Saccharomyces cerevisiae S288C: one gene and its partners. The protein of the gene in region 2 interacts with the protein of the main gene of each other region in a pairwise test. Each region holds a gene or a part of one and is shown on either strand. Other genes may lie near its edges.

Evidence for each region.
Region 1: the proteins of TVP23 (region 2) and YPT35 interact in a two-hybrid assay, tested with the Saccharomyces cerevisiae proteins (one study listed by BioGRID).
Region 3: the proteins of TVP23 (region 2) and YIP5 interact in a two-hybrid assay, tested with the Saccharomyces cerevisiae proteins (2 studies listed by BioGRID).

Annotation. Positions count from the first base shown.
Region 1 is NC_001140.6:322,912-325,989, reverse strand, and holds YPT35 (Ypt35p), read right to left. Parts: upstream 1,225-3,078; coding exon 580-1,224; downstream 1-579. Other genes in the region: thioredoxin-disulfide reductase TRR2, read right to left, coding at 1-392; GRE3 (trifunctional aldehyde reductase/xylose reductase/glucose 1-dehydrogenase (NADP(+))), read right to left, coding at 1,598-2,581; SBE22 (Sbe22p), read right to left, coding at 3,018-3,078.
Region 2 is NC_001136.10:612,857-616,120, forward strand, and holds TVP23 (Tvp23p), read right to left. Parts: upstream 1,149-3,264; coding exon 549-1,148; downstream 1-548. Other genes in the region: RRP8 (25S rRNA (adenine645-N1)-methyltransferase), read left to right, coding at 1-395; AFR1 (Afr1p), read right to left, coding at 1,432-3,264. UniProt on the Saccharomyces cerevisiae protein: Golgi membrane protein involved in vesicular trafficking.
Region 3 is NC_001139.9:198,587-201,999, forward strand, and holds YIP5 (Yip5p), read right to left. Parts: upstream 1,557-3,413; coding exon 624-1,556; downstream 1-623. Other genes in the region: SUT1 (Sut1p), read left to right, coding at 1-451; AIM14 (putative metalloreductase), read left to right, coding at 1,975-3,413. UniProt on the Saccharomyces cerevisiae protein: Possible role in vesicle-mediated transport. May be involved in proper membrane localization of Rab GTPases.

The DNA of each region.
Region 1 (3,078 bases), on a different chromosome or scaffold from region 2:
TCTGCATCCTCATTAAATTCGGTCCATAATCTGAATGGTTTTGAAGATAAATCGACTTTAGAGACAGTCTCGGTAATTATGTTAGTGCCAAACTTGGCAGATTGTTTCCTCATCCTCTCCATCAGTTCACTGCCACTCAACGATTCAGGAAACCCTGGGAAATTTTCGATATCGGTGGTTGTTGTCAATTGGCCACCAGCAGCAATTCCGTTGGCCATCATTCCCTCATATAATGTGGGCTTCATCTCTGCTCTTGCCAAGTATATAGCAGCGGTGTGGGCAGCGGGGCCAGAACCTATGATTGTAACCTTGTGATGAATCATCCTTGACAGCACGGACTTGCTGATGCCAACAAAATTCGTCCTGAATGGCGAAACTATATGTTTTATCATTGTTTATTTATATTAGAAACTGTGGAGTCCGTTTCGTTCTTCCTTTAATGTTGGACGATCCCCTAAAAGTTTTCATTGCGGTCAGCTCAAGGCATTCCCCATCGAGTGATTAATTAACAACGCGCCCGAGTTAAATGGGATAGTAGTAGTCGATGAGAAGAATAGTCGGTTGGATAGGGATGGTGAGCTATGCAACTCGTTTTGAAGGCTCTAGAAACTGTATGAGTATATCTTTGGTCATTTCTACGAGGCTGCTGTTAAGGATGATGTGATTGAGGAAGTACTCGAGCCCTCTCTGTCTTTTTGCCAGCCAGTCCTTGTTCAGATTCACTTCTTGATATTTCCAAGAACTGTACCACTGCACTGAAGGGGGAAGGTGTGGAATCTGCAAACAGTTAAGTTTCTCAGGTTTCGCTGTCTTGATTCTTGTGAGCAAATTCTCTCGTAATCTGACGAAATCGGAGTATCGTTTATAGGTTTGGATTTTATAGCTTTCCCTCTTGGCCGCAAAAGCCTTCAAGTTGGGTTCAAGAAATACGGTAATTCTCCAGACAGCAAACTTTGTTCCATGGTCGCCATTGACTATGGTGCAATCGCTGACATGAGCCTTTTGAAAACTAAAGTTTGCATTGATAGAACTGCTTCGTCTAGGTCTTGTTCTGGTAATTGTGGCACCGCAATCATTACTATGGCTAGTGCTATCATTGCTGTTTGACGCACTGATGGGTCCCTCATTTTCTTGTTGTGAGTCAATGTCGAGTTCAGGCTCCGTGGAGTCTTCGTCAAGTAGTTGGATGGGTTCGGGAGGTAGAAAGGATATCTTGTCGCTCATATCTTGCTGTTGTTTTAGTTGAAATGGAAGCTGCTATTAATATCCCGATAGATATCCGGTTACTCAAATGATTTTGGGACCGCTTTGCTCTCTTGGTGTCTATTTTAGTATCACTCACTCATCGCCCCCACTCGTTTCCCTTTTAATTTCAATTACCGTTGGGTTCTGTTAAAAAATAGCCAAATTGTCAACCATACAAGAGATGAATTAAAAGCGTGGATGACACCACAGGCAGAAAAAGTATATCCAACATTTTATTTAAAGCTGTTCTGTGTCTAAACAGAAGAGCATGTAAAAATTTATACACATATACAGCATCGGAATGAGGGAAATTTGTTCATATCGTCGTTGAGTATGGATTTTACTGGCTGGATCAGGCAAAAGTGGGGAATTTACCATCCAACCAGGTCCATGGATCATTAAATCTGATGTTGGCATTTAGTGCAGAAATATCCTTCAATTCTTGCTCCGTTAAAGTGAACTTTTTTTCGATTTCTAGGTTGCCAAGTAACCTTTCCTTCTTGGAAGATTTTGGAATGACGGCAATGCCTCTCTGAGTTGCCCATCTAAGCAATACTTGGGAAGTGGTACTGCCTGGATGGTTTTGTGAGACCTTCTTGATTACATCATTCTCGAACAGAGTTGGCGTGGTTTTTGCCAACTGTAAGTCCATCTCAATGAATGATTGAGGACCGAAGGAGGAGTAAGCAACTACTTGGATATCGTGTAATTTACAAAACTCAACTAGGTGTTCTTGAGTCAAATAAGGATGGTGTTCAATTTGCAAAGCCACGGGCTTGATTCTACAACCACGTAATAAATCTTGAATCAAGCTTCCCTGAAAGTTGGAAACACCAATAGACTTAATCAAGCCTTCATCAACACATTCTTCCAGAGCCCGGTACGTATCTATGATTGGTACATGTGCTTCGGTGATGTGACCTTTCTTCTCGTCATCTGCGCCCGTATAGAATCCTGGAGGGTATTTCTCTTCAAATGGAACATATTTGAAGGCGATTGGGAAGTGAATATAATACAGGTCTAAATAATCAAGTCCCATATCGCTTAAGGTCTTCTTTAAAGCTAATTTTACATGATCAGGATGGTGAAAATTGTTCCATAACTTTGAAACAACAAATATATCCTTTCTAGAAACAAGACCTTCGGAGATGGCTTTCCTGATACCTTCACCAACTTCCTTTTCGTTGCCGTAGTCGCAAGCACCATCGAATAAACGGTAGCCTAATTTGATAGCTTCATAAATTTGATTCGCACAGACTTTTTTGTCAATTTTCCAGCACCCTAAGCCGACTAGGGGCATTTTCAGACCGTTATTAAGAGTAACCAGTGAAGACATCTTTAAAAAATTTCCAATTTTCCTTTACGATTTATATTACAGTATTTTCCCAATCGTCTTGAAGGATTGCACTGACAACTATTTGCTTCTATATCCCTTATATACTTCAGTGTACCAGGAGTAATTTACTTGATAGGCCCCCTAGAAGTAGTAACTTCGAGGTTTTTTTTTTTTCCATAAAATTCTTCCGCATGTGGCTTTTCCCTTTTATGACGTATACGTTTACTACCAGCAACAATTGGGAAACAAGTATAGAATCTAGAGTTCCGATAATGAAATATTATAAAAGTTTTATTAAACAGTGAATGTGTAAAGAAAACAAACAACTATATGCTGAGGAGACTTCTAAATATATGCTGAGGAGTTTTCCTTGGGCTCCCTTTTAATCCAGTTTTTTTTTTCTTGTGCATGAGTGAAATTACAGTTACAAAAAATATCAAAACTTCTTGTAGTAATGCGCCCATTTCTTGATGAACACGGCATTTACAGTATCTGCG
Region 2 (3,264 bases):
ATGAGTCCTGTACTATAGTGGTCTTCTGCCTGGCTCTAATGGGTACAAATTTCCTCGATTTCATAAAAGAAGCTTATAGGATTTTAGCGCCAAGGGGTGAATTATGGATCGCAGAAATTAAATCAAGGTTTAGTGACGGCAAAGGTAATGAATTTGTAGACGCTTTGAAGCTGATGGGATTTTTTCACAAAAAGACCTTCGACGAGAATAAGATGTTTACAAGATTCGAATTTTTCAAGCCACCTGCGGAGATTATTGAAGAGAGAAGGCAGAAATTGGAAAGAAGACAAAAGTTTATTGAAGTTGAAACTGAGAAGGAAGAATTAGAAAAGAAAAGACGGAAAATTGCCGAAGGAAAATGGCTCTTGAAGCCCTGTATTTATAAAAGAAGATAACGACTTCATCCGTCATTTTCATATTTTAATATTGTTTTTTCTTTTGTATACTATATTTATACATATAATTGTATTCTTTTCCTGTAGTACATTGCGTAAAGTAAAAATCATCTAGAAGAAGTACTCCACAATGTTCACATGAGGGACAAGGTTTTATTGTCTCTGGAAAAACGATTGGATATTAGCCAGCCTTGAAAGATTTTCAAAGCCCGGAACAGAAGGAAGAGCGAACCAATTATTAGTATCTTGACCGTCAGATTGTCCACTATTGGGCTCCCATCTATCGCAACAACGAAATCCATACGTGTTCCAGGCGGTCAGACACATTGCAACAATGACCAAAATCAGGTAGAATATTTTCAGTCTTAAAAGACACAACACAGCGAAGACACCCCAGATTACGGGTGTCACATACATCGACCACCAGAATAACTTAGAATCGATGGCATTTATTGGTGGGCCCGGCGCATATTGCTTATATGATTCGAAAGTAAAATTAGAATCTTTGTTCACATCTGTAGAATCATACCACCAGCGTAATTGGACCAGTTTCCGACCTGTAATGTTTTTTGTTAAGTAAAAGTCAAAAGAAAGTAAAAGAACGACAGTGATGAATTGAGGTGTGAAATTCAAAAACATTGATCCTATGATATAAAATACAATGGGAACTGCCTTACCTGCCAGATGAAATGATAGTAGCAACGGGTGCGACGATTTTAAAATTGTGTTGTAGAAATTTCTTGCCTGGTCCATGTTTCATTCGTAATTAGAGCACCAGCAGGTTTATAAAAGCGTATTGAACCGTAAATCCTTTAAGAACCACGCTTTTCTACATTTACATTATGTACAGTTAAAATGGAAACGAAATCCCTTTTCACCCAAAGGCGCATTGCGGACAAATAATAGGTTCGAGGTCAAGGTAAACAGGAAGCAAGATGCAAAAGAAGTAACTGGAATGGAATGTATACATTGATATATAAATATGTATGACGCCTTCTATTGCAAAAAATAAACTGGATTATGTTACGTTAATAACTCAAATTAAATAATGTGTAAAGCACTTGCTGTTCTCATGGACAACCATCTCATTTTTTTTGTAAGAGTTAAGTTCAAGTTTGATCTCATTCATGGCACTATTCATGCTTGGATGTACTTTCATCATCCACAACAATCTGTGGCGATTCATAATGAATTCCGGATTAGCTCTCTCATATGCATTCGATGACCAAGTGCTTGCTAAACATACTTCTTTTGCAAACCGGACATCTTTTTTTATTGGTTTTGGAGGTGTTTCGACTTTATCAAATGAGGAATCTGGCAGCGAATTCCTTCTATCTTCGAATCTGATATACTCCCAGTCATTTCTCAACCTATTTACCATGTCGTTCCCAACATGCATTGGTAAGCTTATTGGACCTGACAGAGACTGTCGCAAATCTGTCGATATGTTGTAGAAGTATCGTGCAGATTCATTGTCATCTAATGAAGGCCTCTTGGACGATCTTGGTGGTGGTTGATTTCTCGTGTCGATTATATATTCACCGAGCTTTGAAAATTCTTCGATTATGGTCTTGTCGATCAAACCTTCATTGACATTATGCTTTTCGGTATCTCGAAAAGAAACCTTGCCATCGTCGTTGTGCGAGGTCTCGTGGAGCTTTTGTCGTATTTCTAATTGCCTTCGCCTCAAATCGTATTTATCATTTTCCTTGGACAACAGATCATCAAAAATTGAATCTGTATCCATTAGAGTTTCGTCGTCGTCAAATTCAATGCCGTCCAGATTTGCATCCATTAATTCAATATCATTCTCAGCTTCAGAATTTCCATCAGAATGCGTAACCATATCATCGATAGGAATTCTCCTTCTTTTTGTATCCTTTTTTCCATGCTTTGTATTCGAGTTTCCTGAAGTACGCCATAATTTCTTCAAAACAGAACCCAGTTTCAACTTCGATTGTGACTTTATACATCTATATTTCTCAGTGCCCAGAATAGTCTTTTTCTTTCTATCAAATAGGCCTGAATTAGTTGTTGGCTTAGTTTTTTCCTTAGTTGATAAATCCAATTTTTCTATATGGCTACCATGTTTTTCATTTACCGTATTTTCGAAGCAATAAGATATAGTTACAGTTTTATTTTCATAACCGTCATCATCATCAGTTTGACTTTCTGGCAAGCTGGTCAGGGTATTAACAGCAGATATCGGAGAGGTTGATGAAACCGAACTTTTTATTGTTGAAGGAACTGAAGTGTTCAGCTCCAAGCTATTTACACCGTAGCCTGTATCATTGGGAGGAATATGTATGACTGATGTCCCATTATGAGGCCCCACAAAATCTTTTGATAAATTGCGACCTTTCTTCTCGCTGAATTTGAATAAAGAAGAGTCTCTTGAATTTAATTCAGGCTTTTTCAAGCTGTGGGTGCATTTTCCATCAAGTTTTGGCTTGTATATTTCGCCATTGGGAAATTGAAAGCTTCTTTTCATTTTAGAGCGCTGCAGTTGATAAGGTGTTAATTCTTTATATACTCCGAAAGTGTACTGTGGCTTCTGGTATTGGCTCACATAATCTTGATCATTATTGAACCCCTCATGGTAAGAGTTTCTTTCCCTAACTGTGAATAGCGCAGTTCTCTTTCTTTGCTGGGCGGCTGTCATTGAACAGGACCTTACTGGAAATTTTCTAGCTGCTGTCACAGACCTACAGTCTATCTCGCCACTATAAATGTGTCTCTTCTTATTCGGGTTCGAATAATTGTAATCAGCATCATTCCTAACATTGAGTTTAGAGAATGTACTAGACAAAGCAAACAAATTCGAAGTTGAGTTCGACCTAGGTATCAATCGCTCCGGTATGGGTTGGTT
Region 3 (3,413 bases), on a different chromosome or scaffold from region 2:
TTCCAAGAGACAAAGAAGTGGCCCAAGTTGTGACAAATGTCGTTTGAAAAAAATAAAATGTAATGCGAAAATTGAGATTTTGCTTCAAGACGATACTATAATGCCAATGATCTCGAACAAGTTGCGGTACGTCTTGACTCCTGACGATATTCGGCTATATCGAGGCACGCTGTTGCGGAATATTGCCATACCGGATGATGTCATTGAGGGTACAGGCTCACGCAAGTTGATTAAGCATATTGATAAGTTGGTTTTGCTCACACCTTGTTTACCATGCATTAAGAAAAAGCATTCTTCTTCTTCCACTAATTTCCCAAAAAATGATAAATGTACTTTTTCAAAAGGCTTTACCAGAGCTGACATAAACATTTCATCCAAAATCTCCTTAAAATTTAAGGATAAAACCATTTACGACATAACCTATGATGACTATAAAAGCATTGATTTTTAGACAAAGGCATCTCTAATGAATAGCATCACAAAACTTGCATTTAGCATTAACATATATGGATATATATGTACACACAGAAAACGTATAAACACTCATGTATAACCCTACATAATAAGAGTATACAATGATACTAGTCATAAAAAGTATTGTGTGTATAGACGTGCGCATATTTTCAAAATATTATAAACCTGAACAATAGACAGAATAAAGTATGCAGCGCAACGACAACGATGATGGACAGCGAAAATTTCCCGTTCGATTGTGTCTCCGTATTATTATTACTCGATATTTGAGAATTCAAGAAATAAGACGACTGTGCCCACCCAAGAGCCACAATTGCCCATTGAATTGCTTGAACAGTCCTCAGGCGCTTGGACATATCCAATATATTCAATATAACACAAACGGGTATCCAGATCAAGTTAGCGTACCCGTAAACGGAAATCAATTCAGGAACACTTTTGAAGCTTCTATTGCGCTCCGAGTGCTCATCTCTATTCAATACTTGCATGGTAATAAATGGTACGCCGAACGTGTACCCGTAAAATAGCCAAATAGAATGCAGTAGCTTCTTAAACTGACTGGCCCTGTCGATGTCCTCACCAGTCTTGACGCCCTCAATTACGTCACTGATAATAAAATTTAACCCCCTACTCATGGTAAAATTGATCATTACCACCGTGGCAGTGATCCATACAGCACCGTATAAATCAGTGTTATCTTCGTTACTTTCGGAATTATGATCGTTTCTAAACGTCAGTACCGCGGACAATCTCTTTTTGAACTGCGTCAAATCGATCTGGAAGTATTTAGAATAGTAGTTTATCAATCCTGGCCTCAATCCATTACGCCCAAGACCGTCGTTGTCATTCTGTCCTATCACTTGGTCGTACGCTGGTGGGTCCATTTGACCCTGTAATGGTGCGGATTCTGCCTTACTGCCCGTTGTGTTATAAAATTCGCTACCCTTTCCAGCAGTCGAGTTATTCATGTTTGGGCTATCAGGTACGGTGGCATCATCAAATGGGTTGGGCTCGTTGCCAAAATCATCTACACCCTCGAGATCATCGTCAATATCTAAAAAACTGCTATTATTGGACGGCATTTTTCTGCTTTTGTCGAGTCAATCCTATTTGCTAGTATACAATCGTGGATGAAGCGTAAAAAAGAACTACAGAACCAATGCGTTTGGATCCAATGTGGTCGCTGCCCTTGGCCCCTTTTACCTTGAGCGTAGGACGTTGATACATTTTCACTGCTTGAGAAATTAGGTATAATACACAGCCGGGTAAATAGCGTTTAATTGATCGCTGCTCCGTAATACCGATATACTGTTACGTTATGTATTGAAAATACAGTTTAACTATTATTTGTAGGGATACTACTATGGGGTCTCAACCGCACTTAAAGGCGCTAAAATATTTTGACTTTTCCTTCCTTATATTGTAGACGTGTTATTTAAAAACTACATTTTCCATATCTCGTCGCCAGAAACTTCTAATTTGGTAAGCCTTCCAATAAATATGAAAGAATCCCCTCTCATAACGTTGGTTAAAAGACATTCCGAGACACATTTTGCCAATATCAAGTATGGGTATTATGTGTTGATAATATCATTGGTCTATCTCATTGGATTGGCTCTTTTGAGAGCTTTCGGAAGGAGAACCCCATCCAGATCGTCGTCAGCTTTCAAAAATAAGATAATTTATCGGTTGTATGATATAGATCCTGCAATTCACTTAGGTATATTGTTTTTTGCAGTCTTGATTCCATTTTATTACCATTACTCTTTGACTACCCAATCTACGGTCTATCTCAAAAGATTAGGGAGGTTGAGTTACGCCTTGATCCCGCTGAACCTATTCCTCACTTTAAGGCCTAATTGGTTCCTTAGGAAAAATTGCACCTACACTGATTTTATACCGTTCCATAAATGGTTTTCACGTATTATCACCGTGATTGGTTTGCTTCATGGGATTTTCTTCATCATTAAGTGGGCGATAGACGATAATGTCTCTCTAAAGCAAAAATTGATTCTGAAAACTTTCAATTTTGCGGGATTCATAATATCAATATTGGTACTTTTTTTACTTATTTGCTCGATTGGGCCAATGAGAAGATACAACTATCGTTTGTTTTACATCGTACATAACCTGGTGAACGTGGCCTTCATCTTACTCACCCCAATACACTCTAGGCCAGGTGTTAAGTTCCCATTTCTTCTACTAAACTGTACCCTATTATTCATTCATATTATCAATAGAATAGTATTTGCGAAATCCTTGATGATTTTGAATAAGAATGCGAATTATTCAAAAACAAATTTAGTCCATGTAAGATTGCCCAGGGCTATTCTTCCAGATTATTTTGAACCAGGGTCGCATATTAGAATAAGCCCTTACAGAAGAATTAATCCCCTCTATTGGTTGCTACCATCGCATCCATACACAATTGCGTCTTTGGCAGAAGACAATTCAATTGATCTTATTATAAAGGAAACCTCTACAGCCGAGCCAGGTAGCCAGATAGAGTCTCTTCGTAGTAATCCAAAATCCTTTCATTTAGATCAAGAAAAAACCTATACTTTGATTAATAGTTATCCTCCCTCTGTACCCGAAGAATGTTATTCTCAAGGCACGAATATAGCTATTATATGTGGTGGGTCTGGTATATCTTTTGCCCTACCACTATTTAGGCATTTTTTTAACAAGGAGAATGTAAAATACTTGAAAATGATCTGGCTGATAAAAGATTACTCTGAATATGAACTTGTTTTGGATTATCTCAAGACAAATGGGTTGACTTTTGAGAAAAAACTCTCGAATAATAAGAGGATTTCAGTATTTATTAGTGGAGAATACACGGCGGAAACACGGTTAGACGAAATTACGACCAATATCGACGATGAAAACTCAGAATATGAAATGGGATCTTTCAACAATGAAGACGAAGACCTTTCGAT